Stegostoma tigrinum: one gene and its partners. The protein of the gene in region 1 purifies or fractionates together with the protein of each later gene. This does not show direct contact. Links are inferred from orthologs where the notes say so. Each region holds a gene or a part of one and is shown on either strand. Other genes may lie near its edges.

Region 1 (7,787 bases):
GTGTTTTGCTCAACTGAAGCCAGATTTCTTTATTTCTGGATTGAAAACCTCTGTGATAAAGGTTGACTGTGATCTATGAACAAAAACACCTGTGTCCCTGTCTGAATCCTCTTTGTATCTTTCTCAGAACTCACATCCCATCTTGTTTTGTGTCATCTTCGATAGCCAGAGACTTTTCCCCAGGGCAGGATTGACTGCCATGAGGGGTCATAGTTTTAAGGTGTTAGGGGAAAGGTATAGAGGAGACGTCAGAGGCAGGTTCTTCACCCAGAGAGTTGTGAGCGCGTGGAATAGTTTACCAGTGGTAGTCATGGAAGCACAGTCATTAGTGACATTTAAGCGACTGCTGGACATGCACATGGACAGCAGTGAATTGAGGGGAATGTAGGTTAGTTTATTTTATTTTTGGATTAGGATTATTCCACGGCACAACATCATGGGCCGAAGGGCCTGTACTGTGCTGTACTTTTCTATGTTCTATGTTCTATCTACAAACTTGGAAATATTACATTTGGTCCCTATATTTGAATCGTTGATATAGATTGTGAAAAGCAGAGATCCATGCATTGATCCTTGAGGTACCCCAATAGACATTGCCAATTTGAGAGTGACCCACCTGTCTCTCCCTGCTCCTCATCTTCTTTTTACATACGTATAATAGCTTTACAATCCATGTTTATATTTCTTACTAGCTTATGTTCACAATTATTCCCTTTCTTTATCCATTAAAATTAATGAGAAAAATAATCACCAATTAAACAACTGCTGGTTTTCCTGTGTTATCCCATTTTGATTTTTTTTCCTCAACTCAGTCAGTCCACATTGCAGCCAGACTAAACTGGATTGGATGTTGCACCACGCTGTTCTGTTCACATTCTTGCCTCTCACGCTATTCATGCCGCCACCCTCACGCTGTTCACATCCACTCCACACCACGTCCCCCACACACTGGTCCTTTTCATTCACTGCAACCCCACTTTACCTCTGTTCCTGTCTAACCACTTGGCATTCACACCCTTCTACCTGAGTTAACATGATGTTTGACATGGCGGATCTCATGCAGGTGGTAGTGTTCCCAAGCATCTGCTGCCATTATCTTTCTATAAGTAATAGGGGGTGGGTTTCTAAGGTATTGTCAAAGAAGGCTTGGTGAGGTGTGGCAGTTCATCTTTCATTTGATTTGATTTATCGTTGTCGCATGTATCTAAGTGCAAAAGTTGTGAGTAGTACAGGTAAATGATAGCAAACAAGGATATACAGATCATAGACAGAACGAGGCATACAGGTTATGGCTGCACAGAAGGTGCAAAACCAAGGTCAAAACTAGCAAGATAATAAAATGTGAGGCTGGATGAACACAGCAGGCCAAGCAGCATCTCAGGAGCACAAAACTAGCAAGATCAACATTATTTGAAATTAGAGAGGTCCATTCAGCAGTCTAACAACTGCAGGGAAAAAGTTGTTCTTCGACTTGTTGATGTGTGTTCAAGCTTCAGTGTTTTAAATGGTACCAGTCAAGATTATGATGAAATATTCTCTGCTTACCTGGACAAATGTGGCTCCATCAACACTCCAGAAGTTTAACATCATTCAGGGCAAAGCAGCCTGCTTGACTGGCACCCAATCTGACACCTTCAATGTTCACTAGTGACATACCATCTACAGGGTGCACTTCAATAACTGACCAAAAGGTCCTTATTGAAGTGGGGAAACACTCAGCATTGGGTGAGGTTGCAGATGGCTTGGGGAATGCATTGTTCTAGAGGCTTTGATGCTGGGACAGACGTACTGAGAGGTAAGGTGTCAGTGAGACAGGAACACTGAGCCAAGGACATTTTTTTATTGCTTCATGGAATGTGGGCTTTGACTCTTAATTATCTGGCTGAAGACAGATTCTCGAGACCTTTTAACTATTGGTGGACAAAAAAGCAGACCCTGAATCCACCTCAGTTTCAACATGGATTCAATCCAACACTGTTGCTGGCTGATCTACATGTTAGTCATGTAGCCAACAGAATGAACCTGGGTGGGGGAGGAAAGGGAAATAGGGTGAAATTGTGTATGAGCGAGGGAGATGAGGGATTGATGTGGATGAGAGGGTGGTTGAGCAGGAATGATAGGGGTTTGAAGGTGCCCAAGAACTAATGAGCAGGGTGAGGGTTGGGTGAGAGCAGTGAGTGAGGTGATGGTGAAGGTGGCAGTTGGTGTGAAACAATAAATGGTGAGATTGGTCGGGTGTTGAGAGTGGTCAAGGGGATAGGAAGTATTGAATATGCAGGTGGAATGAGGGTTATTTGTTGTGTAGTTGGGGGTGTTTGGTGATTCGGTGAGTGAGATTGAAAGACTGGATTGGTAATGTGGAGGAATGAGGTTTGCAATGTTGGGGTGATGGATGACATAAGGCTGGGTGATGATCATGTGGGTGAGACTGAGGGGTTAGGGAGATAGATGAGAGAGGGATGATATTGGGGATATGGAGTAACTTAGTTTGAGAAACTTGGTCAACATGGGTGTATTGTACTGAAGAATTTGTTTCCATGCTGTATGACTATGTTAAACATGTGGATGCCGGGATGTGAGTGCTGTTGGGGTGGATTACGTGAATCAGGTTAAGTGGGTGAGTGTGGGAGGAGGCTGGGATTTGGGATGATGAAAGGGGGCTAAGGTGGCTGTGGTTGAGTTGGGTGATAGAATGAGGTGTGTTTTGGGTTTGGGTGGGCTGTTTGAGGGAAGTGGGCATGTGGGTGGGCTGGATGTAGTGGAGAGGACTTGGGCTGTGTAAGGGGAAATAGAGGGGTAGCTTTGAGGTTGTAGGCATGAAATGATGGTGCTGTGGGGTATGTTGGTTTGTGTAAAGTGGGGAGTGGGATATTTGAGTGATGGGGAGAGGAGAGGCGGTTTAAGGGCCCTGGGTTATTGGGGATGGGTGTGAGTGGATTTAGAAGTCTGTTTGAGGGTGTTAGAGGACATGAGGAGTGGGAGTGTGAGGGGTCTGTGGGGGTTGGTGGGCTATGAGGAGTTAGGACGTGAGTGGTTGGAGTTGGTGGTGTGTGTCTAGGGAGTTTGGTGAAGTTTGAAGGGGTGTGAACTATGTGGGTGTGAGGGCACCAGTGGGTGTGAGGTGATGAAGTAGGTGGGTTGTGAAGAGATTGTTGGCATATGATAATAAGGGATGTGGGGGGACTGGGGTTGGAAGTGTGAGGGGGTGGGATAACAGGGGGTTAGTGGGGTGATAATAGATGTTGCTGTTGGGGTAGGTGTGGGCTGGTGGTAAGGTTGTTGCGGTGGTTAACATTGTGGAGTGGGAGTGCAGGAAGGTGGGTATATGTGAGGGTAGACAGTTACTGGTCTGTGAGGGGGTTGGTGGTAATAGAGTGCTGGATAGTGGATGTAAGGGGGAGGAGGAGGGGTGGAGATGGGGGTTATAAAGGCATTGGGGGTTGGAAGTGGTGATGGTGGGGACGGTGGTTATGATCTGAGGATGTGGTGATGGTGGGTCCAGGGCTGGGGATAATAGAGTGAGTGTGGAAATGGTGATGCTGGGGGTTAAGGGTGAGGATTGGAGATGGTGGGGATGAGGGTGGGGAGGGGACAGGGTGGTGAGAGTGAGGGTTGGCATGGAGCAGGGTGGTGAGGGTGAGGGTGGGCATGGGACAGGGTGGTGGGGTTGAGGATGGGGCAGGGTGGTGGGGGTGAGGATGGGGATTGGACAGGGTGGTGGGGGTGAGGGTGGGGATGGGACAGGGTGGTGGGGATGAGGGTGGGCATGGGGCAGGGTGGTGGGGGTGAGGGTGGGGATGGGACAGGGTGGTAGGGGTGAGGGTGGGCATGGGGATGGGGCAAGATGATGGGGGTGAGGGTGGGGATGGGGCAAGATGGTGGGGGTGAGGGTAGGCATGGGGCAGGGTGGTTGGGGCGAGAGTGGGGATGGGACAGGGTGGTGGGGCTGAGGGTGGGGATGGGGTTGGGGCAGGGCTGAGGATAATAGGGTGAGTGTGGGAATGGTGATGGTGGGGGTTAAGGGTGAGGATTGGGGATGGTGGGGGTGAGGGTGGGGATGGGACAGGGTGATGGGGGTGAAGCGGGGATGGGGCAGGGTTGTGGGGGTGAGGGTGGTGATGGGGCAGGGTGGGGGGGTGAGGGTGGGGATGGGGAAGGGTGGTTATGGGGCAGGGTGGTGAGGGAGAGGGTGGGGATGGGGCAGGGAGGGGGGTGAGGGTGGGGATGGGGCAGGGTGGGGGGGTGAGGGTGGGGATGGGGAAGGGTGGTGATGGGGCAGGGTGGTGAGGGAGAGGGTGGGGATGGGGCAGGGAGGGGGGTGAGGGTGGGGATGGGGCAGGGTGGGGGGGTGAGGGTGGGGATGGGGCAGGGTGGGGGGGTGAGGGTGGGGATGGGGAAGGCTGGTGATGGGGCAGGGTGGTGAGGGAGAGGGTGGGGATGGGGCAGGGAGGGGGGTGAGGGTGGGGATGGGGCAGGGAGGGGGGTGAGGGTGGGGATGGGGCAGGGTGGGGGGGTGAGGGTGGGGATGGGGAAGGCTGGTGATGGGGCAGGGTGGTGAGGGAGAGGGTGGGGATGGGGCAGGGTGGTGGGGTGGGGCTGAGGGTGGGCATACTGCGTGTGGGAGGGAAGATTGGGTTTGTGGGTGTCGGGGTAAATTTCTCCCGCCCACTCACTTAGCGCCGCTCTCCTGTGGATTACGGCATCGCTTCTTGCTGGCGATGACGTCACCACAGGTCCGGGCGCAATGACGTTTCTGCGTGCGTCACGACGCTGTGTGCACTACGTCAGCGCTGCGGGGGAGTTGCGGCTCTCGCTGGGTTTCTCGGGCCGCTGCCGAGCGATCGATTCCCGAACCCGCGCCTACCGGCCCTTTCGCTGCCCGGCTCCCCGCCGAGTAGGCTCAGCCAAGGCCCGGCCTCGCTTCGCTTCTTCTCATCCGCCCGGCGCGTGCTGCGCAGCGGTTGTTCCCAGGGTTTTGAATCGCGCCGGGGGCGAGTGCGCGCTCCCGAGCCGTGGCCGCCATGAGTGTGGACGCGTACGGGCCGAGCTCTCAGACTCTCACCTTCCTAGACACGGAGGAGGCCGAGCTGCTTGGGGCCGATACGCAGGGCTCCGAGTTCGAGTTCACCGACTTCACTTTACCGTCACAAACACAAACACAAGGCCAGAGCCAAGGGCCCATCGAAGGCCAGGTAAGGAGCGACGGGGCTTCCCGCACTTCCCCCCCCCCCCCCGCAAGGAAAACACGCCAGTCCCAGGCCGCGCGGCCTAAACACAGGATGTACGAACTAGCCCCCTTCCCCACTCGAGCCTACTTTTCCGTGCGGGCTCTGAGTGTAGTCCCTCGTTGCTGCTTCAGCTTCGGCTGTCGGGTTTGTCGGCTAGGACCCACATGGAGGGCAGGAAGCGGAGGCGAGAGGTGGCGAAGGCTGGGCCTTCAAAGGCCCGATTTTTTTTGTGGTGGGTGGGTGTGGGGGTAGTCACTCTTGCTGTCTCCCTGTGTCCCTTCCCTTTCCCCCCACCCGAGCCACACTACCTTCACTCCCGACAGACCTGATATGTCCTTCCTCTTCTCCCCACCCTGTGCAGTACCCCGATGGCACTTAATGCTAGTGGAAGCTGTAATAGATACGATGGGAATATACGGAGTGAGGAGCTGTTGAAGTGTTGGTTGGAGGGAGTAGTGCAAGTGGGCTGCTGGTCTGAGAGAAGGTTGTTGGAATTAAGGGAATGAGGCTGGAGCTCCCTGATATGCTAGATCGATTTTTGTGTTTTGTGTGTAAGTGCTGATGTGAAAATACACAGGATTCTCCACATTCTGATTTCCCTGCTGCTGCTTCTCAACTTCATGAAAATAAGCCCCAATTCAACTGAACTCCTGTTGCCAGCTCCATTGGGTTCATTTTAGTTGACATATGCAACCTGAGGCTTTGGGACAATGATAATTTGGTGAAGTGAAGACCCTCCACCTAACCACCCAAAAGCAGATATCAGGTTGCCACTGTTTTGGAAGTGAGAGAAAACTTGCAAAATACCTGTTCTTGTTTAAAAGTGACAGTTGGTTGCATCAGCAGCAGGAATAAGTGCAATAAAATTCCATGTAAAGATTCTGAGTGACCCACCTTTGGTATTAGAGTATTACTACTCTACAGTGGCCTGAGAGAATAGGCATTGTATAATCCAGAGACGATGAAAATTGCAATAAGTGCAGGTAGGAAGACAAGTTAGATGTTTTGACTTCAACAAGAATTATTGGACTTGTGGGTGAATCATGTATTTGTAGTTTAGTTGTTTTGGCCATTAGAACTTGTGAAGTTGTTGAGGTCAGAGTAAGTCCCCATATACTCGGTCCTCAAAACATCAGGGGTAAAACAACTGAGGGAACAGTTGTGTGGATTTCTAGCGTGGGGTATATTTAGAATTCTTAAAGTTCAGTTGAAGTGGTCGTATGTTTCTCAAAGCTCATGAAAACACCACACTACATTTTATAAGCTAAGTATTTATTTGAACATTATAGTTGAGCCAAAATTACAGTTTGAACCATTTCAATATTGTATTGATGTACCGTGATGCTGGGGTAGTAAATAATGGGCTTGGATTTGAGGCAAGTACTGAATGCTGTTTGTTGTTCTGATGTACTGTCATACCTGTCAAACATTTAATCTCACTGGAAAAATAGCATGTTGAAGGAGCTATGACTTGCATTTAACCACACACCTAAGACAGAGGGTAATGACCAGCATTGCAGCTGTGTGTATTTGTATGTAAATGTACAATATAGAACAGTATAACAGAGGAACAGGCTCTCTGGCCCACAATATTCTGCCAACCATGCTGCTGTCATTAACAAATCCCATCTGCCTGCACAAAGTTCATATTCTGTTATTCATGTGACTGCCTAAATGGTGCTTAAATGTTGCTATCGCATATCCTTCTGTTACCTACTTTGGCAGCGCATTTTGGGTACCTGCCACCTTTTTATAAAAACATTTATTTCGCACCTATCCTTTTAAACTTTCCTCCCTCACCTTAAACCTGTGCGTCCCAGTATTTGACATCCGAATCCTGGGGAAAAAAGACTCTGAGGATTCACTCTATCCATGACTTTCTAATTTTTATATACTTTTATCAAGCCATTGTTTTCCCCCTTCCTACAAAAACTTCGATCCTAACAAAAACAGTTTGTCCTGACCCGAAACGTCAACTTTCCTCTTCTCTGATAATGCTTAGCCTGCTGTGTTCCTCCAGCTCCAAACTGTTATCTCTTGACTTCAGTATCTGCAGTTCTTACTATCTCTGAGTTAAGTTTGGCCAGTCTCTCCTTATACCTAATATACACCAGTCCAGGCAACATCCTGGTAAACCCCTTTTTGCATACTTTCCAAATTCTCAACAGCAATCCTTTTGTGTGGTGACTAAAATTGTGCGCAGTACTCTAAATGTGTGTGTAAGAAGCAGTATAATGCTTCATTAGAAACTTTTTAATTTTGATTCTATGGTTGCAGTTTAGGTTAAGGTGTGCTTATGGACATGTTTTATGTTTGACTGGCAATATGGCAGGGGGCACGTAACCATGTCCAATGAATTATTGTGGGGGGAAAAAAAACTCAGGTTGGTTGTGATGCTTCAAGCTGTTTAAGATATATTCTGTCAGCACAGTCCTGACTCAAAACGTCAACGTTTGTACTACTCTTTTGCCTGGCCTGCTGTGTTCCTCCAGTTCTAAACTGTTGTTATCTCTATCCAGTAACATGGTGTTTTTGGTGACCTCTGCTGGTCAAGGTTAA
Region 2 (7,533 bases), on another chromosome or scaffold:
CTGTTATCCGTTAAGTGGACTAGGGTAGACTGAAGATGGGCACAGTGATTTTGAAGAACTGGATAAAGCTATTATCAATTACCAAAAGTTGGCACTGACTCACTTATATGCCAGAAGGAGCCAATTAAAGGAAGGAGGCCACTCTGACTGAGAGCAGAAAAAGCCACCGGTAAATACAAACATTGCTCAAATCTGCAAAGTGAGGAACAGGATACAAGATCAATAGTTTGGCAAAATGAGGAAGACCACAAAACAGAGTATGAGCACTGTGGCATTATTAATAAGCCCTGTTGCTTCACTACTTTTTTCTCGATCAGTTCTGCCATGTGAAATTTTAATAAATGCTCCCCCCATTTATCACGGTTCAAATAATGGATCTCTTGCCTTGTTTGTAGCCTCAATAATGTCCTACCTTTCTTCTTCTATTGCACTTTGTCTGTATAGTTTCTAATTTGCCCTTAATCACTTTAACTCTAGCCCTGTAAGATTCTCAGGTCTGCGGCTGTGTCTTGAATTGCTTCTTTGGCCCTTTCACTGTAGTTATGCCTTATGCCTGCTTTTACGGCAGCAACACTCAATCTGAACTTGTAAGTACTGTGAGATAGTAAGAACTGCCAATACTAGAGTCAGAGATAACACAGTGTGGAGGTGGAAGAACACAGCAGACCAAGCAGCATCAGAGGAGTAGGGAAATTGATGTTTCGAGTTGGGACCTTTCTTCTGAAAAAATGTAAGTACTGTGCTTACTTGAAGGTATCACAACCTGTAAACTATGCCTTTTTTTAAATGTTATCCCTTGCCCAGCAGGGATTTAACCTTTACTCCCAGAGCATCCCACATGTCTATCTGCTCTTCAGCTGAAACCTGAATCAGGACCAGTCTTACAAATTATCTGCACTGATTGGTGCTCCATCATGTTGCTAGCTCACTCTTGCTGCTGTATGCTCCTTACCAGGTTTGAAATGTTTCTTACAATCAACTGTAGATTTTGCCTTCCAGAATCTTGTCCTGAAACTTTCCTTTGTAAGGTTTTGAAATATTCATCTCTTTTAACTGCTGCCTAGTTGAGCAGTTTTCTTCACGCTCGTCAGTGTCTGTAGGACTTTGTATGCTACAGCTAAATAGCATCTGCACTGCTTGCTACCAGGTTGTAAGCTGAGTCTGCTCTATAACTCATCGAGATATTAGATTTGCCTGGTAATTTGTTGTCATTATCCTTTACCTTGAAGACATCCAGGGCCTTCTTGATCTAGTCTGGTAGAGGGAACCTACCTGGTAGCCTGTTGAGAACAGGCTCCTGCTTTAAGCAGGATGTAGTTTACTGCATGATAGCAACAAGTACTAATTGCACTGGTATGATAGACATTTGCTACTGAGATAATGAGTAATGTTACGTTTTACTCCTTTGCAAACCAAATCTATTCCAGCCCAAATTCATGCAACATCAACAAATTCGGTGGTGCTTGACACGCTCCTCAGCATTACCCTTTTCAGTCTCTTACACTTTTATACACAATATATCTCTATATTCAATGGGAGATCTGTAGTTATAGTTCCTCCACAAGGGGAAACATCCTTCCAGCATGAAATTCCAGTAAAAGCATACATAACTATGATTTCTATAAATTGTTACGTCTCTACCTTTCAAAAAATAGTAATAAGTTATTTGAATCAAGTCTTTGTTCTGCATAATTTGCACTCAGTACTACCTTGCACTTACAAGGTAACCAATCAATATTTATGTAATGTTCTCATGAGCTTTTACCTGTTAAACAGACATCTGGAGAGTCTCAGTTGCACTGTTGAATATATTAAACAATCAAGGAGGCATTCAGAGGCAAAGAGCAGTTAAATGACAGAAGTGTGCTTTCAGGTATTCTACAATCTCAGTACTTGAATAAATCAGTTGGTCGACTTCCCAGTCATCAGAATATTGGTCTACGGTGACAAGATAATCAGTTCCTGCAAGAGTGAAGAGATCCAGTTCCAGCTTCATCCATGGTCTATCCAAAATGTCATGTGATCCACAACTCTCTAGCCTGGCATGCATCACAGGCAATGCATTGGCTGATGTGATCTTTGATTTAATTGCTCATGTTTATCAAACAGAAACTTATCTTCCACAAATTCAACTCATTTCCATTGCTGCCTTGCATGGATGCACTTAGCATCTCTCATTTCAACTTCTCCAGGACAACGATTCTGTTTGTTTTCATACATTATGCCACCTTGGACTGTCAATTCATCTCTTCTTGCCCAGTACACCCTTGTAACCACAGGACTGTCCTTGATGCTTTCAGACCATTCTTCCTTCATCACTTCTTACAACACTTGAAAATTTAGATCTTGTTAGATGGTTTTCTTGACTGGGGTCTGATAAACTCAATTTTAATGCTGTGTTCTGGCTTCCAGAACATGTTGAGTAGATGATTCATATTAGATGTAAAAGATTTTACACTCTGATGCATCATCCTCAACTTCCTATATAATAGACCCTAGCCTTGACAGCATTTCAGCCGTGCACATGTGTTTGCTTTGCTCATATGTTCCATCCAGATGATACCTCCAGCCAACTGTCTCTGTGATATTAGGGCAAATCTTGTCTTATTGGCATCTCATTGCAGGGTGAAGCAGATTAGAGGCTAAGAATTCTGCAGTGAGTAATTCACCTCTTGCCTCTCTGAACGCTGTCCACCTCCCAATGTTAGGAGTTTGGTATAATATTTTCTACTTGCTTAATGGGTACGGCTCTAACAACACTCAAAACCTCAATGTAGTGTGGAGGTGGATGAACACAGCAGGCCACACAGCATCAGAGGAGCAGGAAAGCTGACGTTTTGGGACTATATCCAAAAACTCAATCTGATAACCTGATTTATAAATCCAACAAATTGTTGGACTGCTACTATATCTATTGGTCTCTCCACTGCTGTTACAGTTCTCACCTTTTTGGAACTTAGAGAAAGAATTTTTGTTGTCCATACATGACCTATGTCCATGCTTCTGAGTATCCTAATTATTATTTTTAATTGTTTAGCTTCAGCTGGCAATCTCTGTCCAGCAACCATAATAGATTTCAATATGGTCAGGATCATTCATTATGTCTCCATATCCATAAACTACTTGGCATCTCTCATTCCAACTCTTTGGGAGCAATGAATCCATTTGCTTTGTATAATACGCAATCTTAGACTGTCAATTCATCTGTATATGCCCAATACACCATATCCATCATCCACTATCACGTTGACTCCAGGAACATCATTCATCATCTCATGCTGCCTACCTTGATATTTCTCTGGAGCTTTTGAAATGCCAAATTGAATGTACAACTATCTGAAACAAAAGCAGAAATTGCTGTAAAGACTCAGCAGATCTGGCCATGTCATTGGAGAGAAAACAGAATGAACGTTGTGAGTGTTTCTCCATCACAACTATGGAATGATTTGAACAGAAAAACCAAAGAACTGCAGATGCTGGAAATAAAAAGCAAAAATAGAAATTGGTGGGAAGACTCAGGTTTTAAAGGGTTCTGAAGCATTGGGGACCTGACTAGGACCCATGGGCACAGCCTTAAAATTAGACGGGGTAAATTTAAAACTGAAATGAGACGACATTTCTTCAGCCAGAGAGTGGTGGCCTTGTGGAATTCATTGCCGCAGAGTGCAGTGGAGGCCAGGACGTTGGATGCCTTCAAGTCAGAGATCAACAAATTCTTGATCTCAAAAGGAATCAAGGCCTACAGGGAGAGTGCAGGGAAGTGGTGTTGAAATGCCCATCCGCCATGATTTAAATGGCGGAGTGGACTTGATGGGCCGAATGGCCTTACTTCCACTCCTATGTCTTATGGTCTTATGGAAATATTAACTCTGCTCTCTCCACAGATGCTGCCAGACCTGCTGAGTTTTTCTGTTTCTGTACAACTATTTCTAAAGCCCAGTCCGCATTCAGATTGTAGCAAGAAAGCTACTGTCTTAATTCAGCTTCATTTCCTAGTAACCCATCTTCACATCTAGGGTGGTGACATAAAATTGCCCTTTCACGTTGTTACAAAATTTCTTTAATGGTTTGCGTGGGGTAGTGAGAATTTATCAGATCTGTATTTAGATCCTTTGAGTCAAGGCATACTCTCTGTTTTTCAGATTATTTCATTGCCACCATCCTATTGTAGCTGTCACTGCCCTTTTCCAGATCTTCAACCTTTATCTATCAAGCCTGGAGGCAGCCAGGACTTTCCTCAATACATACTGAACTGGTTTTACAACGTCATCAATTTAATACGATATTATTCAGGAATTTATCCTATACTACTTAAGGATCGGTTCCATAGTCAATAGATAAATGTATTATCTCTGTGATCATCTTTAAACGTAGAGACTTTGAAGACAAAGTATCGCTCCAATATTGCAAGCCCTTAGATACACCAGCGAAATCCACGCAGATGCCGTCAAAAACAGTAACAAGTCACCTCAACACGCACCCCGCTGGGCGGTTGGAGAGGGCGGAGTCAGCCCATCCGGGAGCATCACGTGGGAGGAGGCCTGTGAGCGTGCGCGTCATCGCGAGATGTGTCAACACGAGTGCGAGCACAGCAAGAGGTTGACAGAGTGTGCGAGCGATAGGCGGTGGAGTGAAGAGTGTGCGGAATGAAAGAAGAGAAAGAGAACAAGGGGCGCGAGCGGCGCGTGGAGATCCAGTTCAGAGACAGAGAGGAAGGGGAGAAACGCAAAGAGAAAGATGAAAAAAAGGAGGTGCTCACTAAGGTGTGGGCTGCGCTGCTCGCTTTCTTCCTTCCCTCAAGCACGAAAGCCGTTTTCTTTTGGGGGGGGTGGGTGTGTGTTCTAGAGCGTTGCGGGGTCTCCATGGTGACGTGGGAGTTAAAATGATGAGGCGGACGGTGATTGACAGATCGCGAGCTGGCCTCGAGTGCAAGGGTGGCTCACGCGGCTGCAATTATGCCTCCGTTGGATTGCTCGTTGATTACCGATTGATCTTCAGCATCATACTGCTGCGGTAATGCACATCCACGCGCTTAAGATCGATGAGGCTAAAATTTTCCAACGAATCAAACGGCCATTGTCCTGTCCTCTTTCATATGTTGTCATAGTCAGACTTCACAACCATCATCATGCTGGATAACGTAACGAGAATTCTCGTCCCAAATTTTTGTGATCCCCAATCGTGTGATATGAGACTGGTTCTGGATATTTTAAAAAGTAATTGCTTTGAAGTGGTGCAATTCCCGTTTTGGGTTAAAATGGAAGAATAGCATTTTGCGCAATCTGCGTACCTGTAGTCCCACACTTCACGTTGCCAGTTATTGTGATTTCGTTCAGGTCGTCGTTATAGAGGGAAGGGAATTTAATTTCTTTATTGAAAATATTCCCTCTTTACATCAATGCTTTAAAACTGACACCAACAATACAAGCCATACATATTAAAATGTTTCTAAAAGTGTTTTTTTTCGCTAAAGAGATCAGTATTTTGCACACAGCGATAACAGGAAATTTATAATTGAAAAGCTTTGATTATCGTTGCGTGATTTATTTGTAAATTTACTGATTGGCCGATTACACGTGGATGCTGTCGTCGCAGATGGACATGAGAGCATTAAGATGTTTATGATAAAGGCGGTGTATTCGTTGTAAGGGTCACCGGACCCGAAATATTAACTCTGGTTTTTCTTCACAGATGCTGCCAGACCTGCTGAGCTTTTCCAGCAATTTCCGGGTTATTGTTTTCTGATTTTCTACGCAGATTGGACCAATCAAATTAGCAAAGGTGAGGTTGAAGATCAGTTCTAGAATCATAGAGATATACAGTATGGCAAGAGACTCTTGGGTCCAACTCGTCCATGCTAACCAGATATCCTATATCTGGGGTGGCTCAGTGGTTAGCACTGCAGCCTCACAGCCCCAGGGACTCAGGTTCGATTCCAGCCTCTGTCTGTGCGGAGTTTGCACATTCTCCCTGTGTCTGCGTGGGTTTCCTCTGGGTGTTCCAGTTTCCTCCCACAGGCCAAAGATGTGCAGGCTAGGTGGATTGGCCTTGCTAAATTGCCTGTAGTGTTCAGGGGTGTGTGAGTTATAGGGGGATGGGTCTGGGTGAGATGCCTCAAGGGGCAGTGAGGACTTGTTGGGCCAAAGGGCCTATTTCCATACTCTAGGGAATCTAATCTAGTCCCCATTTGCCAGCATTTGGCCCATATCCCTCTAAACCCTTCCTATTAATATGTCCATCCAGATGCCTATTAAATGTAATCATACCAGCCTCCATAATTTCCTCTGGCAGCTCATTCCATATGTGCATCACACTCTTCATGAAAAAGTTGCCCTTTAGCTCCCTTTTATTATTCTTCCCCTCTCACCTTAAAACTATGCCCACTAGTTTTAGACACCACCCAGGGAAAATACCTTGCCTATTTACCCTATCCATACCCCTCATGATTTTATACATCTCTATAAGGTGTCAACCTCCAAAGCTCCAGGGAAAATAGTCCCAACCTGTTCATCCTGTCCCCACAGCTCAATCTCCAACCGTGCCAATGCCCTTGTAAATCTTTTCTGAACCCTCTCTAGCTTCACAACATCCTTCCTATAGCAGGAAGACTGGAATTGCATTCAGTACTCCAGAAGTGGCTGAACTAATGTCATATACAGCTGCAACATGACCTCCCAACCCCTGTACTCAATGCACTGACTGATTTCATGGAATTGCTTTTGCAAAATTGGAACCAATTAGGGGAAATGCATTTTTAGATTTGGCATTGCATAATGAACAGGGCTAGTTGTGTGGGAGCAGGCCATTTGGCCAGTTGAACCTCCTCAGAACTTCCTGCTCAGACCCACCCTGTACCTGTAACCTTGCAATTCCCATGGTCAGTCCACACATCCCTAGGCACTATGGGCCAATTCAGCATTGCTGATCCACATAACCTACCTGCACATCCTTGAACTTGGGAGGAAACCCATGCAGACACAAGGACAACGTGCAGACTTTAGGCACAGTCACCGAGGAATTGAACCCAGCTCCTGACTCTGAGGCAGCAGTGTTAACCACTGAGCCACCATACTGCACAATGTGATGCCAAACTCTTCTTTGATCATTGCCTTTGCCTCCTTGCCTACTTCGCTGGACAGGACCCCTCCTCTTTGTTCCATGGACCCTTTCACCGATCTTCAGTACCCAGCCTTCTGTCATCTTCTCTGCATTTCATCTCTTTATTGAGAACTGTCGACATGACATCAGCTGCCTTAATTTCTCTGCTCCCCTCACTGATGAGAACATATAACAGCAGAGCACAGGAACAGGTCCTTTGGACAACATATCTGCGCTGACCATGAGGCTATTATAAGTTAATCCCTTTGCCTGCATTTGGTCCGTATCCCTTTATTTCCTCTATGTTAATTTGTCTCTCTAAATGCCTCATAAAATTAGTGGCTGCTGTCTCCCCTGGCTGTGTTCCAGAGACCTCCCACCCTCTGTTTTTAAAAAAAAGTCTTCCCTCGCACATCTCCGTCAAACTTTGAGATC
Region 3 (7,930 bases), on another chromosome or scaffold:
GTTTTATATCTTTCTTCTCTTGCCTTAAACTTATGCCTTCCAGTTTTGGACTGCTTACCCTGACAAAAAGATCTTGTCTATTTCCCCAATCTGGGCTCCTCATGATTTAAAAACATCTGTAAAGGTCACCCCTCAGCATCCCATGGTCCAGGGAAAATAGCCCTAGCTTATTTAGCCTTTCCCTGTAGCTCAAACCCTCCAGTCCTGGTAACATCTTAGTAAATCTTTTCTGAACCTTTTCTAGTTTCACAACAGCCTTCCTATAGGAGGGAGACCAGAACGGAATGCAGTATTCCAAAAGTAGCTGAACCAATGTCCTCTACAGCTGCAACATGACCTCCCAACTCCTATATTCAATCCATTGACCAATAAAAACAAGCATGCCAAACCCCTTAATTGTCCTGTCTACCAGCAGCACCACTTTCAAGGAACTATGAACCTGCACACCAGGGTCTCTTTGTTCGGCACTCTGCAGTTCTCTGTTTACAAATACTCTGACTTTACATTCTTTTCACCAATGTGAAAAATACCATCTTTTTCAACATTGTACTTCATCTGCCACATTTCACCCACTCACTCAATCCATTTACCCTTCTGCAATCTCATGTCTTCTTCACAACACACTATTCTACCTATCTTGGTTTCTGCTTAAACACTGAGATGAAACTGCTTTAACTTGAATTGAATAAGCTTTATTCTCATGTACTCAGATGGACACAGTGGAAACTTTATAAGTCACCACTTACAGTACCATCTTAGATACAAAGTTATTTAGGTACAATCCTTAATTACAGAGTAGAGAAATGATGAAAAATATTACATCACAGCTAAACACAGCATAACCATTAGGTCAGACAAGAAGCAAAGTTAAAAAGACAAGCATTACATTTTCTCACCAAAGGCTTTCCGCAGCAACAGACTGATGCAAGGGTCCTCTGCATGGTCTGGCCACTGGGCTGCTGGCATTCCCACTCCTATCACTGGCACCCAGTTCCAGGCCAGTTGTAGACATGTTTTCCCTGGATCACTGTTGTCCAGGTGTACCTATATGCTGCAGCCTTGACACATCAGCTGGTCTGTCACCTTTAGTGGATTCTAAATCTTAGTATTGTTCACTTATTTATTTTAGTTTGTATATATTTACCACCAATTTAGACACTATGTTAGAACTTGGAATAGACTAGATCTTAAGCTCGTAGTAAATACTCACCGAAGAGCTGGCTCCTTTCCCTGTAAGTGGAACGATAACAGTTCTTTCCGGGTGAGAAAAGCAAAAGCAAGCAAACACCTCCTGCCCCCTCCAGCCCCTCCCTCCAACCACCACCATCAGACCCCACAATGCACCATACTCCCACACACAAAATTCCCAGGTTTGCACTCAATTTCCTTAGCTGCAAAACACATCGTAGGAGTAAATATGATACCACATACAGAAATTAGAAGAGTAAAGCGAAGACTTACACTTATACAATACTTTTCATTATTTCTAGGATATCCCATTGACTCATGGTTGGAAACATAGGAAATAGGATCATGTCTTTCAGCCCATTGATCCTGTTTCACCATTCAACATGATCATGGTTGATTTTCAATCCACACCATTGTCCTCGTCATTGCCCATGGCCCTTGATGCTCAGTCACATGTCACAAATTTCATTGATGAGAACAGAATTGAGTAAAGGGTTAAAAAACACTGACCATCATTAGCCAGATCCAGTACTTTGAACTGAGTTAAGTCACTCACTATCAGCTCTGAATCACCAGCTTGTGGATTTTTGACTCCACGCTTTGACTCCAGAATGCTACTGAGGGAATACTGACTGGTTTGCAGCCCAACAAGAAATTTTCACCACTTCTGTTTATTTTCCAGCTTCTGCTTGGTTGCTGATATCGTTGGCCACTTTTTCATAGCACTATTCAACACAGAAGTCCATTGCACCTGTGCCAGCACTTCGAAAGCACTGACCAAATATGCAGTCTCACTGCATAGTGTTTCTTTTCTGGGGATTGGCTGTCCACTAATACCTATTACAAAACTGGCCACTTCCATAATTACCACAAATACACTTCCTCATACCCTGCTTCCTGCAGGACTCCAGTTTGTTCTCCAGATTTCTTTGTCTCCCTTGCATCTGTCCCAATGATGCCACCTTCCACCAGGCTGTCTCTGACAACCTCCTTTTTCCCTCAACTTGGGAAGTTCCCCCCCCCCACTGTGGTTGACAGGGTCTTCAGTCATGTCTGACCCCTTTCCTACACTTAGGTTCTCACTCCTTTCAAGAACAACAGGGATCCTTTTGTCCTTACTTTCCACCACACTAATCTCCACATTGAAAGGATCATCCTACTCCATTTCTGCCACTTCCAGCCATTAATAAACGCATCTTACCCAGCATTCCACCGGGACTATTCCATCCCAAACCCCTAGTCCACTGTTTCATTTGTCCTAACACTTCCTCACTCCCATTCAATCAGAGAATGTAGCACTTGCCCTTTGGCTTCCTCCCTCCTCCACTTCAGGACTTTACAGCCTCTAGAACTCAACACTGGATTCCACAACTTCACAGCATGACCTGTGTCCTCCACTTTGAGCACAGCAACCAACACACACCCCCGGGTGCACAAACACAGACCCCCAGCCATATCTTCTTTGTGTATTTTTCACTTTGCACCCAAAAAAGCAGACCTATTTTCTGCTTTTCACACCTACCATTTTACATTTCTATCACTTTTTTACGCCATTAGCACTCCTCTGTCTTTTACCCTGGGATCCTCAGCATCTGTCGCATCGGATCCCCCCAACTAGCCCAAGAACCACAGATTTCCTGCCCCTGAGCTAGTAGGAACTTCAGATGCTGGAGAATCTGAGATAACAAGGTGTAGAGCTGGACGAACACAGCAGGACAAGTAGCATCAGAGGAGCAGGAAGGCTGACGTTTGGGGTTCTGACATAAATAGGGAGAGAGGGGGAGGCAGATAGGAGATGATAGGTGGAGAGGAGACAGACAGGTCAAAGAGGCGGGGATGCTTGTGAAGTCCACATTGATACCATTGGGCTGCAGTGTTCCCAAGCTGAATATGAGTTGCTGTTCCTGCAACCTTCGGGTACCATTATTGTGGCACTGTAGGAGGCCCAGGATGGACATGTCTGTGGAATGGGAGGGGGAGTTGAAATGGTTTGCGACTGGGAGGTGCAGTTGTTTAGAATGAACCGAGCGTAGGTGTTCTGCAAAGCGGTCCCCAAGCCTCCACTTGGTTTCCCCGATGTAGAGGAGGCCACAACGGGTACAGCAGATACAGTATACCACATTAGCAGATGTGCAGGTGAACCTCTGCTTGATGTGGAAATTCTTCTTGGGTCCTGGGATGGGGGCAAGGGAGGAAGTGTAGGGGGAGGTGTAGCACTTAATGCATTTGCAGGGAAAAGTGCTGGGTGAGTTGGGGTTGGCGGGGAGTGTGGAGTGGACAAGGGAGTCACAGAGAGAGTGGTCCCTCTGGAGAGCAGATAAGGGGAGGGAAACGTCTTTGGTGGTGGGGTTGGATAACAGATGGCGGAAGTGTCGGAGGATGATGCGTTGGATCTGGAGGTTGGTGGGGTGGTATGTGAGGACAAGGGAGATTCTGTTTTGGTTGTTATTGCGGAGACGGGGTGTGAGGGATGATTTGCGCGAGACACGGTCGAGGACGTTCTCGACCACTGAGGGGGGATGTTGCGGTCCTTGAAAAACGAGGACATCTGAGATGTTCGGGAGTGGAATACTTCATTCTGGGAGCAGATGTGGCGGAGTCAAAGGAATTGGGAATAGGGGATTGCATTTTTGCAGGAAAGTGGGTGGGAGGAGGTGTTCCAGGTAGCTGATCCAGAATATCTATTCAGTTCCTCCACCATTTCTTTCTTTCCTATTATTACTTGTAGACATAATGCCCCAGCCAAGCTGTTCCAGCACAGTAACAACACTGGCATCTACCCAACGATGTGGGAAATTGCCCTGGCATGTCTATACACAAAAAGCAAGTCAAATCCAACCCAACCAATTATCGTGCAATCACTGCTCTCTCAGCCATGGCAAGTGTAATCAAACGTGCTACTAGGTAGTGGAGCTGGATGAACACAGCAGGCCAAGCAGCATCTCAGGAGCACAAAAGCTGACGTTTCGGGCTTAGACCCTTCATCAGCTTTTGTGCTCCTGAGATGCTGCTTGGCCTGCTGTGTTTATCCAGCTCCACACTTTGTTATCTTGGATTCTACAGCATCTGCAGTTCCCATTATCAGTGCTACGAGGTAGTATCTGCTTAGCAAAAACCTGCTCAGTGACACCCAGTTTAGCTTCTGCCAGGTCCATTCATCTACTCACCTCATTATAGACCTGGTTCGAACATGGACAAAAGAGCTAAATTCCAGAAGTGAGGTGAGAGTGACAGCTATTAATATCAAGTCTACATTCTACTAAGTGTGGTATTAAGGCTATAAAGGTCCTACAGAAGCAAATATTTTCGCTGATAATAAAATGTGAGGCTGGATGAACACAGCAGGCCAAGCAGCATCTCAGGAGCACAAAAGCTGACGTTTCGGGCCTAGACCCTTCATCAGAGATGTGATGAAGGGTCTAGGCCCGAAACGTCAGCTTTTGTGCTCCTGAGATGCTGCTTGGCCTGCTGTGTTCATCCAGCCTCACATTTTATTATCTTGGAATCTCCAGCATCTGCAGTTCCCATTATCTCAAATATTTTCGCTATCTGGTTAGGGCCTGCCCCAAGTGCCTGCTTGTCGTTAAAAAAGAAATTGGGTGTTGCAAATTGCATTTGCAAATGGGCAATATTGCAAATGTTCTGCTAAACTTATTTCATATCCCTGGGTTTGCACCATCCATTTCCCATTTGTAATATAATACACCCTGGGTTTGCATCACGGTTGAACCTGCTGTTTAGGCCAAAATGATTCATTCGTATCCCAAGTGTAACTATGATTCGAGAGTAAGTTTCGCTTTCGTTTCCAGTTTGAATTTTAATTCGGTTTACAGAAACTCGGAAAACAAACGAGTTGATTCAATTGTTGTCGACCCTTCTGTAAAGCTGCAATACTTGTTCAAACTTTGAACCCCGCCCCCTTGTTTCATTTACTCCGTTTCACTGCGAGGCCGGTGTTGTTCATTTCAGTTGGTAATTTAAAAAAAAAACAAAAAGCATCGAAATGCCCAAGAAATTTCGCCTCAGAGAGTTGCGTGAGGTGGGGCTGAAGTTTATGGAATTTCTAAAGGACACGAAGCGAGAAGAAGTGACCGACTTGAAGGCCATTAAAAATATTTACAATTCCGAATTCCGTGGCAGGTAACGTGTCGTTTATTCTGTATCAATGAATCCCAGCGCGGGTCGGGCGTGTTTGCTACTTTGCCGGCGTGTATCCAAACTATTGCTACTTTTTAAAAAGAGATGTTAGGGGTTTCTTCACTTGAGTGCACACCTGAAATGTCTTGATTGTTAGTCGCTGCTGAACAGCATGGCTTGGAGCTTACAGCAACATTTGGAATCCTTGCAAGAGTTAAAGGGAGTAGTTTCAGTTCGGGAGGGAGGATGGGTGGGGATAGTTCGATTGGCTGTTATTGTATGAGAAGCATTTTGTTGGAGTTTGTGGAGCTTTGTTTCTTTGTTTCTTGGTTGATGTTGTGGCGGATACTTGAAATTGGCTGTTGTTGATTGAGACATGAATTTTCTACTGGAAATGGCCACCACTTTCAAGAAAGAATGTGGAAATAATCAAACAAATTAATTGTCCCCTTTTTCAAATGTCCCCCAACCTCATCTGCTCCCCATTACACCCTTGCCTGACCTAACCCAGGCCACCTGCCCCCCATTCTCTTCCTCACCACTCTCATTTTATTGCCCCCAATGTATCCCTCACGCTATTCCCCTCAGTTCCCTCAATCCACTCCTCCCACCTTACCGCACTGCTCCTCATGCCAGACAGACATTTTGCTTCTTCACCCTACATGCCAACTTGTACCCAGACAAAAAAATAAGTAAAAGTTGTAAATGACACTCCCTAATTCGACTTGTATACCTTAAAATGGAGTTTCAGCAGCATGTTTGATTCCAAATATAACTGTTCTGCTTTTTTATTTGTCTTCTGGGTAAAGTTCCATAGAAGCATAGAAAATTGAAAGAACTAGGCCATTCTGTCCATCAGGTCTGCTCTGCCATTCCATACAATCATTCAACTCAATATCCTGTTCCCACTTTCTCTCCACACCTTTTGATCCTGTTGGCCCTAAGACATAAGTCTGGTTCATTCTTGGTTCCACTTAACTGGAGATAATATCCTTCCCCAATATTGCACTAATTATTCAGTTCCCATTCCTGGTCACTATGCAGCCACATCTCCTTAATCCCAACTGTGTCATACCTGTTTGTGTCTATCTGTGTGACTAATTCATCTACTTTATCGTGAATGCTCTGTGTGTAATGACACATTGTCTTAAGACTTGGCTTTGTAATATTCTACGCCCATTCACCTTATTTAACACTGTGGTCCTGTATGATTCATGCCCTTGAATTCTCTGCCCATTACTTTTCTTACTTCCTATTTTGTTTGTTTAACTGTTTATACAAGATTAAACAATATTCACTGGATTCAAAACCAAAAGCCAATTCTTATTCTTTTGAAGAGTCTTAGTGGGCCAAGTGGAACAGAGCATGACAGTAGGCCGTTCAGCCCTTTGACCCTGCTCTGCCATTCAGTAAGGTCACATCTGATCTAGTAATGGCCTCAGTTCCGCTTTCCTGCCTGCCCTCCCCATAACACTTGACTTGCTTGTCTATCAAAAATCTATCTATCTCAACCTTGAGTTAATTTAAATACTCACCCTCTACTACCTTCTTGGGAAGAGAATTCCACACTCTGAGAGGGGGGAAAAAAAATTCTATCTCTTCGTTAAAAACAAGACCTCTGATTCTTAACAAAAACCAAATTACTACAGATGCTGGAAGAAGTAGGCCATTCAACAGAAATTGCTGGAGAAATTCAGGCAGGTCTTGCAGCATCTGTGGAGAGAAAGCAGGTCAGTGTTTCAAGACTGATGACTCGTTTGTTCTTCAAAACAGATACTGGAATCAAAACAGTGACTCTGTTTTCTCCCCACAAATGCTGCCAGACCAGCCATTTGTTTCTTTTTCTCTGACTCTTGAACTGTGTCCCCTAGTTCTAGTATCCCTCACAAGAGAAAATAACCTCATGAAATCCATCTTACCCAATCCCATCAGGAACTTGTTTCAATAAAGTCACCTCCATTTTTCAAAACTCCAATGAGCATAGGCCCAACCTGTTCTTACATTTTTCATAATATAAGTCCTCAATCCAAAAGTGAACAAAGTGTGGATACTGAAGATCTGAAGGAAACAGAAAGGGAAATTGCTGAAGAAACTCTGCATGTCTGGGAACACCTGTGGAAAGAAATCAGATTCAGTGTTTCGAGACCAGTGTCTTTTTTCTTGGAGCGGTGACTGGACTCAAAATGTTACTCTATTTCTCTACCAAGATAACAAAGTGTGAAGCTGGATGAACACAGCAGGCCACACAGCATCTCAGGAGTACAAAAGCTGACGTTTCGGGCCTAGACCCTTCATCAGAGGTCTAGGCCCGAAACGTCAGCTTTTGTGCTCCTGAGATGCTGCTGGGCCTGCTGTGTTCATCCAGCTTCACACTTTGTTATCTTGGATTCTCCAGCATCTGCAGTTCCCATTATCTCTGATCATTTCAATTTCTGTACCAGATCTGCTAAGTTTTTCCAGTGGTTTCTATTTGTAGAAAAGCTTTCCTACTTGTATATTCCATTACCCATGCCATAAGCAACAGTGTTTCATTTTCCTTCAAATCACTTGCTGTACCTGAAAACTAACTTTCCATGATTCATTTATCAGGCCATCCAGATTCCTC
Region 4 (7,782 bases), on another chromosome or scaffold:
TGGAACTTACTCGCTAACTTACAATTACTATTGTAAACTCTCTGCTTCTTCCTGTCTCATTTTACTTGTCCTCACCCTCATCACTTAATGTTCCGTTGCCTCTAACTTTGCCCTTGGAATTTCTACATCTTTCTTCAACTTGGTCCTGCCCCCTTTTGTAGGCTACACGTTTATTTTGTTCAGAATTTGAACCAGTGCCTGAATACTAGACAAAAACTCAAATAAAACTTTTGCATTTAACTCAAAAGGTTGAAATGTATTTTTGAAATTACTGTTGATACAGTAGTTTAAAATCAATAAACAAAAGCAAAACACCAGATGGAACTTCCCCAAAAGATCAAACACAATGACTCATGAAGGATTTACAACAAAAATCCACTTGACTAATTTACTAAAGATTATATGCCCTGAAATCACTGTCCAAAAATCAAGCTGTTTGTAGCCAAGGCTTTACACTTAATATCAAAGCACTGATGCAAGCAAGCAGTACAGAAATGCTTCCTGCAGCATGAGTCAAACAATGGTTATGCTCAGTTAGAAACAGGTGCAGTGACTGACTTGAGACATTATTGAATCTTAGCACTGTGGTATACTAATCTTTGAGCAAAGCTGAACTCTAAAATAAATCAATTTAATCACATATTATACATATTTGTGTTTATTTACAACTGCTGTAACATTGCTGTATGGTTCTGAGACCTGTAGTCATAGAGGCAAGTGCACACAACAGCATCTATACTGAAATTAAATACAAAACACTGCAGAATCTTTGGATAGAGAAACTTCAGTTCTGAAGAAATTCCTTGACATGAAACGTTAATCTGTTTCTGCCTGATGCTACTCAGTCTAAGTATTTCCAGCAATTTCTTCTTTTGTTTCAGACTGCTAGCAATGCAATAGTTTGCTTTCGTTTACTGCCCCAGTGCAGCTGGTGTGAAAACTGTAGACAGTCTGCCAGAAGAGAACTATGCTTTTGCTCATCCACATCCCTCAGGACCACATTAAATGTTAGATTTGGTGAAGCAGCACTTTATTACATGGCCGTAATATAGTGCACTGCAAAGCCCAAATAACTATATGCACGGTACAAAGTATAGGTTGTAAATGACAGCAATCTGAAAGCTTTTCACATGCCACAGACAACTGGGATCTGACTTTGGAGTTGAGTTGACAGCTTTATTGACCGCATATTGAAAACTATTCCATGGTCCGTCAGACTTACAATCTATGTGACTTTAAAATTGTTTTGCTATATACGCACAAATTGAACTAACATTTCTCAGTTCTAAGATTTCATCAGATGACATGACCATGAATATATCACCACAGCATCTATATCTGATTAATATCAGAGGTGGTTTAGGCCCTCATAATAAATAAGAGTTAAAAAGAAAATAGATAGCAGCTCCTCTGGCTTTTAAGGCACCTTGATAATGTGGCCCTTGTGATTTAAAAGAAATTTGATAAAATTCTGTCATAGTAACAACCTACCTTGAATTGGTAGAGAAAAACTCGAAATAATCATGCTCAGGCAAAGGGGCAAGTTGCTCTTCTAATTGCTCTTTTGTTAGACTTGGAGGCAAACGACGGATCACCACCTGATGGATAAACGCAGTTCAATATCTATCAGCTACTTCTTTACCAAAAAAAAGTCAAATGTCAAAGCAATTTAAATTGAGAAACAGATCACACAGATTAGGTACCTAGTGAGCTACTTAAGCTCTCAACATCCAAATTACAAAAACAAGAGCAAACAATCCCATTACTACAATTTAGCAACAAAGGTGACGACCCTGCTGTGATGAGAGCCCAATCAATAAAGTATTATGGAAGAAACATCCTAATGACAAAACATTCATCAATAAAGAAGCTACTTTAGCATCAGGATCATTTAAACATTGCAAAATGTTAAACCTGTTTTTCTCCACAGATGCAGCTTGACCTCGAGTACTTACAGCATTTTGTTTTAAGACAAATCTGAAGTATTTGGAGAGCTAATCAGTAATTGAGAGGCAGCAACAAGATCCAGGAATGACTCAGCCACAAATTCATTTTCATACAATATGCAATTCTCCGAGATTAGCGTGGTCGTCACAAGTAACTGTGCTTCTCACAAAGAGGTAGAATAATCATTCATTAAAATTACGTACAGAAAACGGATTGTGAGGGGAAACCGGAAAGCAGCCTAGGGCAGCCTAGATCTGAGGAAGGATCACCAGACCCGAAACACTAACTCTGATTTTTTTTTTCTTCATAGATGCTGCCAGACCTGCTGAGCTTTTCCAGCAACTTCTGTTCTTGTTCCTGATTTACAGCATCCGCAGTTCTTTCGGTTTTTATCCAGAAAATAGGCTAACTGCCTCGGAGCATTGCACAAACACTCTGACAGCTTCAAGTAGTGAGGTAAAAACCAAAAGAACTGCGGATGCTGTAAATCAGGAACAAAAACAAAGTTGCTGAAAAAGCTCAGCAGGCCTGGCAGCATCTGTGGAGGAGAAAACAAGAGTTAACATTTCAGGTCCGGTGACCCTTCCTCAGAACCTGAAGCAGTGAGATTTTAGCCATGATGGTGAACACGGATTACGAAGGAAGCCATTTAGGCGGAGCCAAAAACCAGAAATTTCTGGAGAAACTCAGCAGGTCTGGCACCATCTGTGGAGAAAAAAAGTTAATCTTTCGAGTCCAGTGATCCTCCCTCAGATGAGGGCTGCAGTTCTTTGTCTTATTTAAGTGGAAACATTGCCTCCTGGACTGTATCCTGGCTGAGGCCTGTTGCTTCACAAACCTTGGTCAAGACCTCTTTTTTCTCCTTCTTTTCGGGTTTCTCTGCCCTTTCCTCATATTTGACCTCCACTTTCTTCTCCCTGGGTTTGGTATTCTCCTTATCTTCCTTCATGCCTTGAGGAGGCAAGCTGCGGCTTCGAAAATAAACAGGCCTACCCCGCTGACAGAGCCAACTCCAACTGAGCCGGCTAGCCTTTGGCTCCCTGTCACGTCACTCAAGCTCCGCCCCCTCTTCTGATTGGTCCGCGCCGGAGGGGGAAACGGTTTTTGAGGCGTGGTCACCACGGACCAATCGCCACGGGGCTTGCTGCGCAAGATTCCCCGCCCTCTCCTAGGAGAGGCAGTTATCGCGAGAGGAAGTGGTGGGGAAAACGAAGTCCCTTGGGGTTTGTGTGTGCAGTGGGGTCTTGGCGAAGGTCGCTGTGAGCGAGTTGCGATGTGGTATGAGATCCTGCCCGGGCTTGTCATCATGGCCGGCTGCCTGACGGTGCCTGGCCTCGCCACCATCTACGTTCACAGGTGGACGAACGGCGGTAAGGTAAGCAGCGGAGCTTGTAGCCGTTGTCGGTTGGCCCTTTCGCTGAGGGGCCTGTGGGGGCTGAGTCAGATTCTCGATCTTGAAAGGTGATGGGAAAGTTTGGGAAATTGCACGTTTGGAATGTCGGATCAGCCGTTAATGTATTTTATTCATTGAGGAAAAAAGAGTATACATAGTCACTGACAAAACAGTGCGGAGCTGGAGGAGCACAGCAGGCCAGGCAGCGTCAGAGGAACAGGAGCAGCTACTGTAAGCGTTTCTATACTGGCTTTGCACATGAATAACGTACAAACATCTAAATTTGGCATTCTCTGCATTTGCAAAAATAAAACAAGGCATTTCTTTCTTCAGGAGGGTTACATTGATATGTATTGAGGTACTAGAGGTATTTCTAACAGAGCTCACTGAGATACATAGCAGAAATTGGACTCCTGACTTATCCACCACAGATACTGAGGCAGTTGTTGCTGGTTAAATCTGAGGGATAACAGTGGTGAAAGTGTGCTGTGCTGTTTGCAGTGTCAACTTTAAGGTGAGACAGAAAAGTGAGAAATGGATAAATGAATGGACCAGAGATAATGGGAACTGCGGATGCTGGAGAATCCAAGATAACAAAGTGTGGAGCTGGATGAACACAGCAGGCCAAGCAGCATCTCAGGAGCACAAAAGCTGACGTTTCGGGCCTAGACCCTTCATCAGAGAGGGGGATGGGGAGAGGGAACTGGAATAAATAGGGAGAGAGGGGAAGGTGGACTGAAGATGGAGAGAAAAGAAGATAGGTGGAGAGGAGAGTATAGGTAGGGAGGGGATAGGTCAGCCCAGGGAAGACGGACAGGTCAAGGAGGTGGGATGAGGTTAGTAGGTAGGAAATTGAGGTGTGGCTTGAGTTGGGAGGAAGGGATGGGTGAGAGGAAGAACAGAGTAGGGAAGTGGAGACAGGCTGGGCTGGTTTTGGGATGCAGTGGGGGGAGGGGATGAGCTGGGCTGGTTTTGGGATGTGGTGGGGGAAGGGGAGATTTTGAAGCTGGTGAAGTTCACATTGATACCATTGGGCTGCAGGGTTCCCAAGCGGAATATGAGTTGCTGTTCCTGCAACCTTCGGGTGGCATCCTTGTGGCACTGCAGGAGGCCTATGATAGACATGTTGTCTGAAGAATGGGAGGGGGAGTTAAAATGGTTCGCAACTGGGAGGTGCAGTTGTTTATAGCGGGAGACGCGGTCAAGGGTGTTCTCGACCACTGCGGGGGGGGGGAAGTTGCGGTCCTTGAACTTGGACATCTGGGATGTGCGGGAGTGGAATGCCTCATCCTGTGAGCACATGCGGCGGAGGCGGAGGAATTAGGAATAGGGGATGGAATTTTTGCAGGAGGGTGGGTGGGAGGAGGTGTGTTCTAGGTAGCTGTGGGAGTCGGTGGGCTTGAAATGGACATCAGTTAATAGCTGGTTGCCTGAGATGGAGACTGAGAGGCCCAGGAAGGTGAGGGATGTGTTGGAGATGGCCCAGGTGAACTTGAGGTTGGGGTGGAAGGTGTTGGTGAAGTGGATGAACTGTTTGAGTTCCTCTGGGGAGCAAGAGGCGGCACCGAGACAGTCATCAATGTAACGGAGGAAGAGGTGGGGTTTGGGGCCTGTGTAGGTGCAGAAGAGGGGCTGTTCCACGTAACCTACAAAGAGGCAGGCATAGCTGGGGCCCATGCGGGTGCCCATGGCCACCCCCTTTGTCTGTAGGAAGTGGGAGGAATCGAAAGAGAAGTTATTGAGGGTGAGGACGAGTTCGGCTAGGCAGATGAGGGTGTCGGTGGAGGGGGACTGGTCGGGCCTGCGGGACAGGAAGAAGCGGAGGGCCTTGAAGCCATCTGCATGAGGAATACAGGCGTATAGGGACTGGACGTCCATGGTGAAAATGAGGTGCTGGGGGCCAGGGAATTGGAAGTCCTGGAGGAGGTGGAGGGCGTGGGTGGTGTCACAGACGGAGGTGGGGAGTTCCTGGACCAAAGGGGAGAAAATGGAGTTCAGATAAGTGGAGATGAGTTCGGTGGGGCAGGAACAGGCTGAGACAATGGGTCGACCAGGGCAGGCAGGTTTGTGGATTTTGGCAAGGAGATAGAAATGGGCCATGCGGGATTGGGGAACAATGAGGTTGGAGGCTGTGGGTGGGAGGTCCCCTGAGGTGATGAGGTCATGGATGGTGTTGGAGATGATGGTTTGGTGCTCGGAGGTGGGGTCATGATCAAGGGGGCGGTAGGAGGATGTGTCGGAGAGTTGGTGTTTGGCCTCGGCGATGTAGAGGTCAGTGCGCCATACTACCACTGCGCCACCCTTGTCTGGGGGTTTGATGGTGAGGTTGGGGTTGGAGCGGAGGGCTGCCCGTTCTGCGGGGGAGAGGTTGGAGTGGGTGAGAGGGGTGGAGAGGTTGAGGTGGTTAATGTCTCGACAGCAGTTGATGAAGTGGTCGAGGGAGGGTAGGATGCCTGGGGGTGGTGTCCAGGAGGAGGACTTGTGTTGGAAGCGGGTGAAGGGGTCAGTGGAGGGAGGGCTAGGCTCCTGGTTGAAGAAGTAAGCGTGGAGGCGAAGGTGGCCGAAAAACTGCTGTGTCCAAACGTGACTGGTATTCGTTGATGTGTGGTTGTAGGGGGACAAAGGTGAGCCCCTTTTGCTTAGGACTGACCATTCATGCTCAGTCAGTGGGAGGTCTGCGGGGATGGTGAAGATTCAGCAGGGCTCAGTGTGGCTGTCTACTCTGGGGTTGTGGGTGGAGCAATGAGGTCGTCTGCCGTGGGCGGGGTGTACTTTGTGTACCCTCTGTGTACTTTGGCAGAAAGTGATCTATTCCAGTTGTGCCTTGGCAGCAATAGCTGCCCCCAGCTTTAGTGCACCCCTCACCACGTAGTCCTGGGCCTTGGAATGTGCCAGTCTGTAACACTCGGTTGAGGTCAACTCTTTGCACTGGAAGACTGACTGGAGGGGCCAGATGGCCCACACCTAGCCCTATGTCTTACAGTCTCCTCTCTTTTCTGTTCCTACAAACATACTTTTATGTCATGGGGTTGGTTGACCAACGTCAATTTGAATTGGAGTAGCTCTTTTAAAGTGTCGCGGGTTCTTTTGAAGGAGTGTTAATGAATGAGCCCTTGGAAGGCCCCTCTCCTCCTATTTTTCCAGTCTGTATCCTGAGAAGGGTAAAAAAACCTTCCTCGCTTTTCTACCTCACCTTAAAGTTGACATGGCAGACAGTGCAGCACTCCCTCACTACTGTTATTTTGCCACAATAACCAGCGGAATTGCCTCAGTACCTGTGTTGAATAAGTTTGGAGTCCTGTTTCTGCTGTGTGTCAGGAACCTCTGTTAGAAATGCCTCTGTATGGGCATCAGTTGAAGAGGATCATCTACAAGATAGAAGTCAGGAGTGTGATGAAATTGCCAGATTTCTGAAGGGCCCAGACCCGAAATGTCAGCTTTCCTGCTCCTCTGTTGCTGCCTGGCCTGCTGTGTTCATACAGCTCTACACCTTGTTATTAGAGCATAGAACAATGCAACGCAGAACAGGCCCTTCGGCCCTCTGTTGCGCCGGCCTGTGAACTAATCTAAGCCTCTCCCACTACACTATCCCATCATTTATCCATATGCTTATCCAAGGACTGTTTAAATGCCCCTAACGGTTCTGGGAAAGAAGTGGGACAATGAGGGGCAGATGGCAGCCATTCACGTTGGACTGTTTGTACCTGAACAGAGCTGGCACTGAGGTCTCTGCAACATTTTATCTTGGATTCTCCAGCATCTGCAGTTCCCATTATCTCTGCAGTTTTAAACCTGTCCACAGAAGAATACTCAGCTAACTTGGATCCACGGCCACTTGAAATTTATTATTTTGGTGATGTCTTGCAGTTTAGTATGCTTTTTATGAAGTGTCTTTCGGTGCATCCTTGTGTTGTGGTAAATCGTCCTCCAAAGTTTGGGGCTGCAATGCAGCCAAGAGGTTTCTGCACATAAGCAGCCCCCTTTGAGTAGTTGTGCAAAAATCTTCAGGTACCGTAGACTTAATTTGATTGTACACTTTTTCAAAAGAAAATTGGTCCAGCCTTTTCTAGGAGAACTAATGCTTAGCTCACCTGATCATATTAGGGAGAGTCCTTGTCATGCACTCAAATATGAAGCCTCCCTGCTTCCTCAACAGAGGCAAGTAGGAAGCAGTGAGACTGCAGAAGGCCTTGGACAAGAGTGGGCAAGCAAGTGGCAGATAGAATTTCCCCATTTTGTATTCCGACGTTTTGCATTTTGGTAGGAAGAATAAAGGTGTAAACTATCTTCTGTGTGAGAAAAGACTTCAGAAATCTGAAGCACAATGGCACTTGAGAGTCCTAATTCAGGGTTCTTTTTTAAAGTTAACATTGCAGAATCAGTTAGGAAGGGAAATGCAATGTTTGCATTCAGTTTAAGACAGCTAGAATTCAAGAACAGAG

What was found.
Region 2: the proteins of upf1 (region 1) and upf3a purify together in Homo sapiens (affinity purification with western blotting; 5 studies listed by BioGRID and IntAct, with this or other methods). This does not show direct contact. The link is inferred for Stegostoma tigrinum from reciprocal best matches to the Homo sapiens genes UPF1 and UPF3A.
Region 3: the proteins of upf1 (region 1) and putative helicase MOV-10 purify together in Homo sapiens (affinity purification with mass spectrometry; 3 studies listed by BioGRID and IntAct, with this or other methods). This does not show direct contact. The link is inferred for Stegostoma tigrinum from reciprocal best matches to the Homo sapiens genes UPF1 and MOV10.
Region 4: the proteins of upf1 (region 1) and upf3b purify together in Homo sapiens (co-immunoprecipitation; 16 studies listed by BioGRID and IntAct, with this or other methods). This does not show direct contact. The link is inferred for Stegostoma tigrinum from reciprocal best matches to the Homo sapiens genes UPF1 and UPF3B.

The regions. Positions count from the first base shown.
Region 1 is NC_081383.1:306,346-314,132, forward strand, and holds the start of upf1 (regulator of nonsense transcripts 1), read left to right. Parts: upstream 1-4,771; 5' UTR 4,772-5,021; coding exon 5,022-5,192; intron 5,193-7,787. UniProt on the Homo sapiens protein: RNA-dependent helicase required for nonsense-mediated decay (NMD) of aberrant mRNAs containing premature stop codons and modulates the expression level of normal mRNAs.
Region 2 is NC_081359.1:66,907,462-66,914,994, reverse strand, and holds the start of upf3a (regulator of nonsense transcripts 3A), read left to right. Parts: upstream 1-4,524; 5' UTR 4,525-4,646; coding exon 4,647-4,763; intron 4,764-4,900; exon of another isoform or gene 4,901-5,013; intron 5,014-7,533. UniProt on the Homo sapiens protein: Involved in nonsense-mediated decay (NMD) of mRNAs containing premature stop codons by associating with the nuclear exon junction complex (EJC) and serving as link between the EJC core and NMD machinery.
Region 3 is NC_081374.1:4,742,917-4,750,846, reverse strand, and holds the start of putative helicase MOV-10, read left to right. Parts: upstream 1-4,927; 5' UTR 4,928-5,191; coding exon 5,192-5,328; intron 5,329-7,930.
Region 4 is NC_081368.1:16,065,223-16,073,004, forward strand, and holds the start of upf3b (regulator of nonsense transcripts 3B), read right to left. Parts: upstream 3,004-7,782; 5' UTR 2,897-3,003; coding exon 2,786-2,896; intron 1,599-2,785; coding exon 1,492-1,598; intron 1-1,491. Other genes in the region: ndufa1 (NADH dehydrogenase [ubiquinone] 1 alpha subcomplex subunit 1), read left to right, coding at 3,221-3,322. UniProt on the Homo sapiens protein: Involved in nonsense-mediated decay (NMD) of mRNAs containing premature stop codons by associating with the nuclear exon junction complex (EJC) and serving as link between the EJC core and NMD machinery.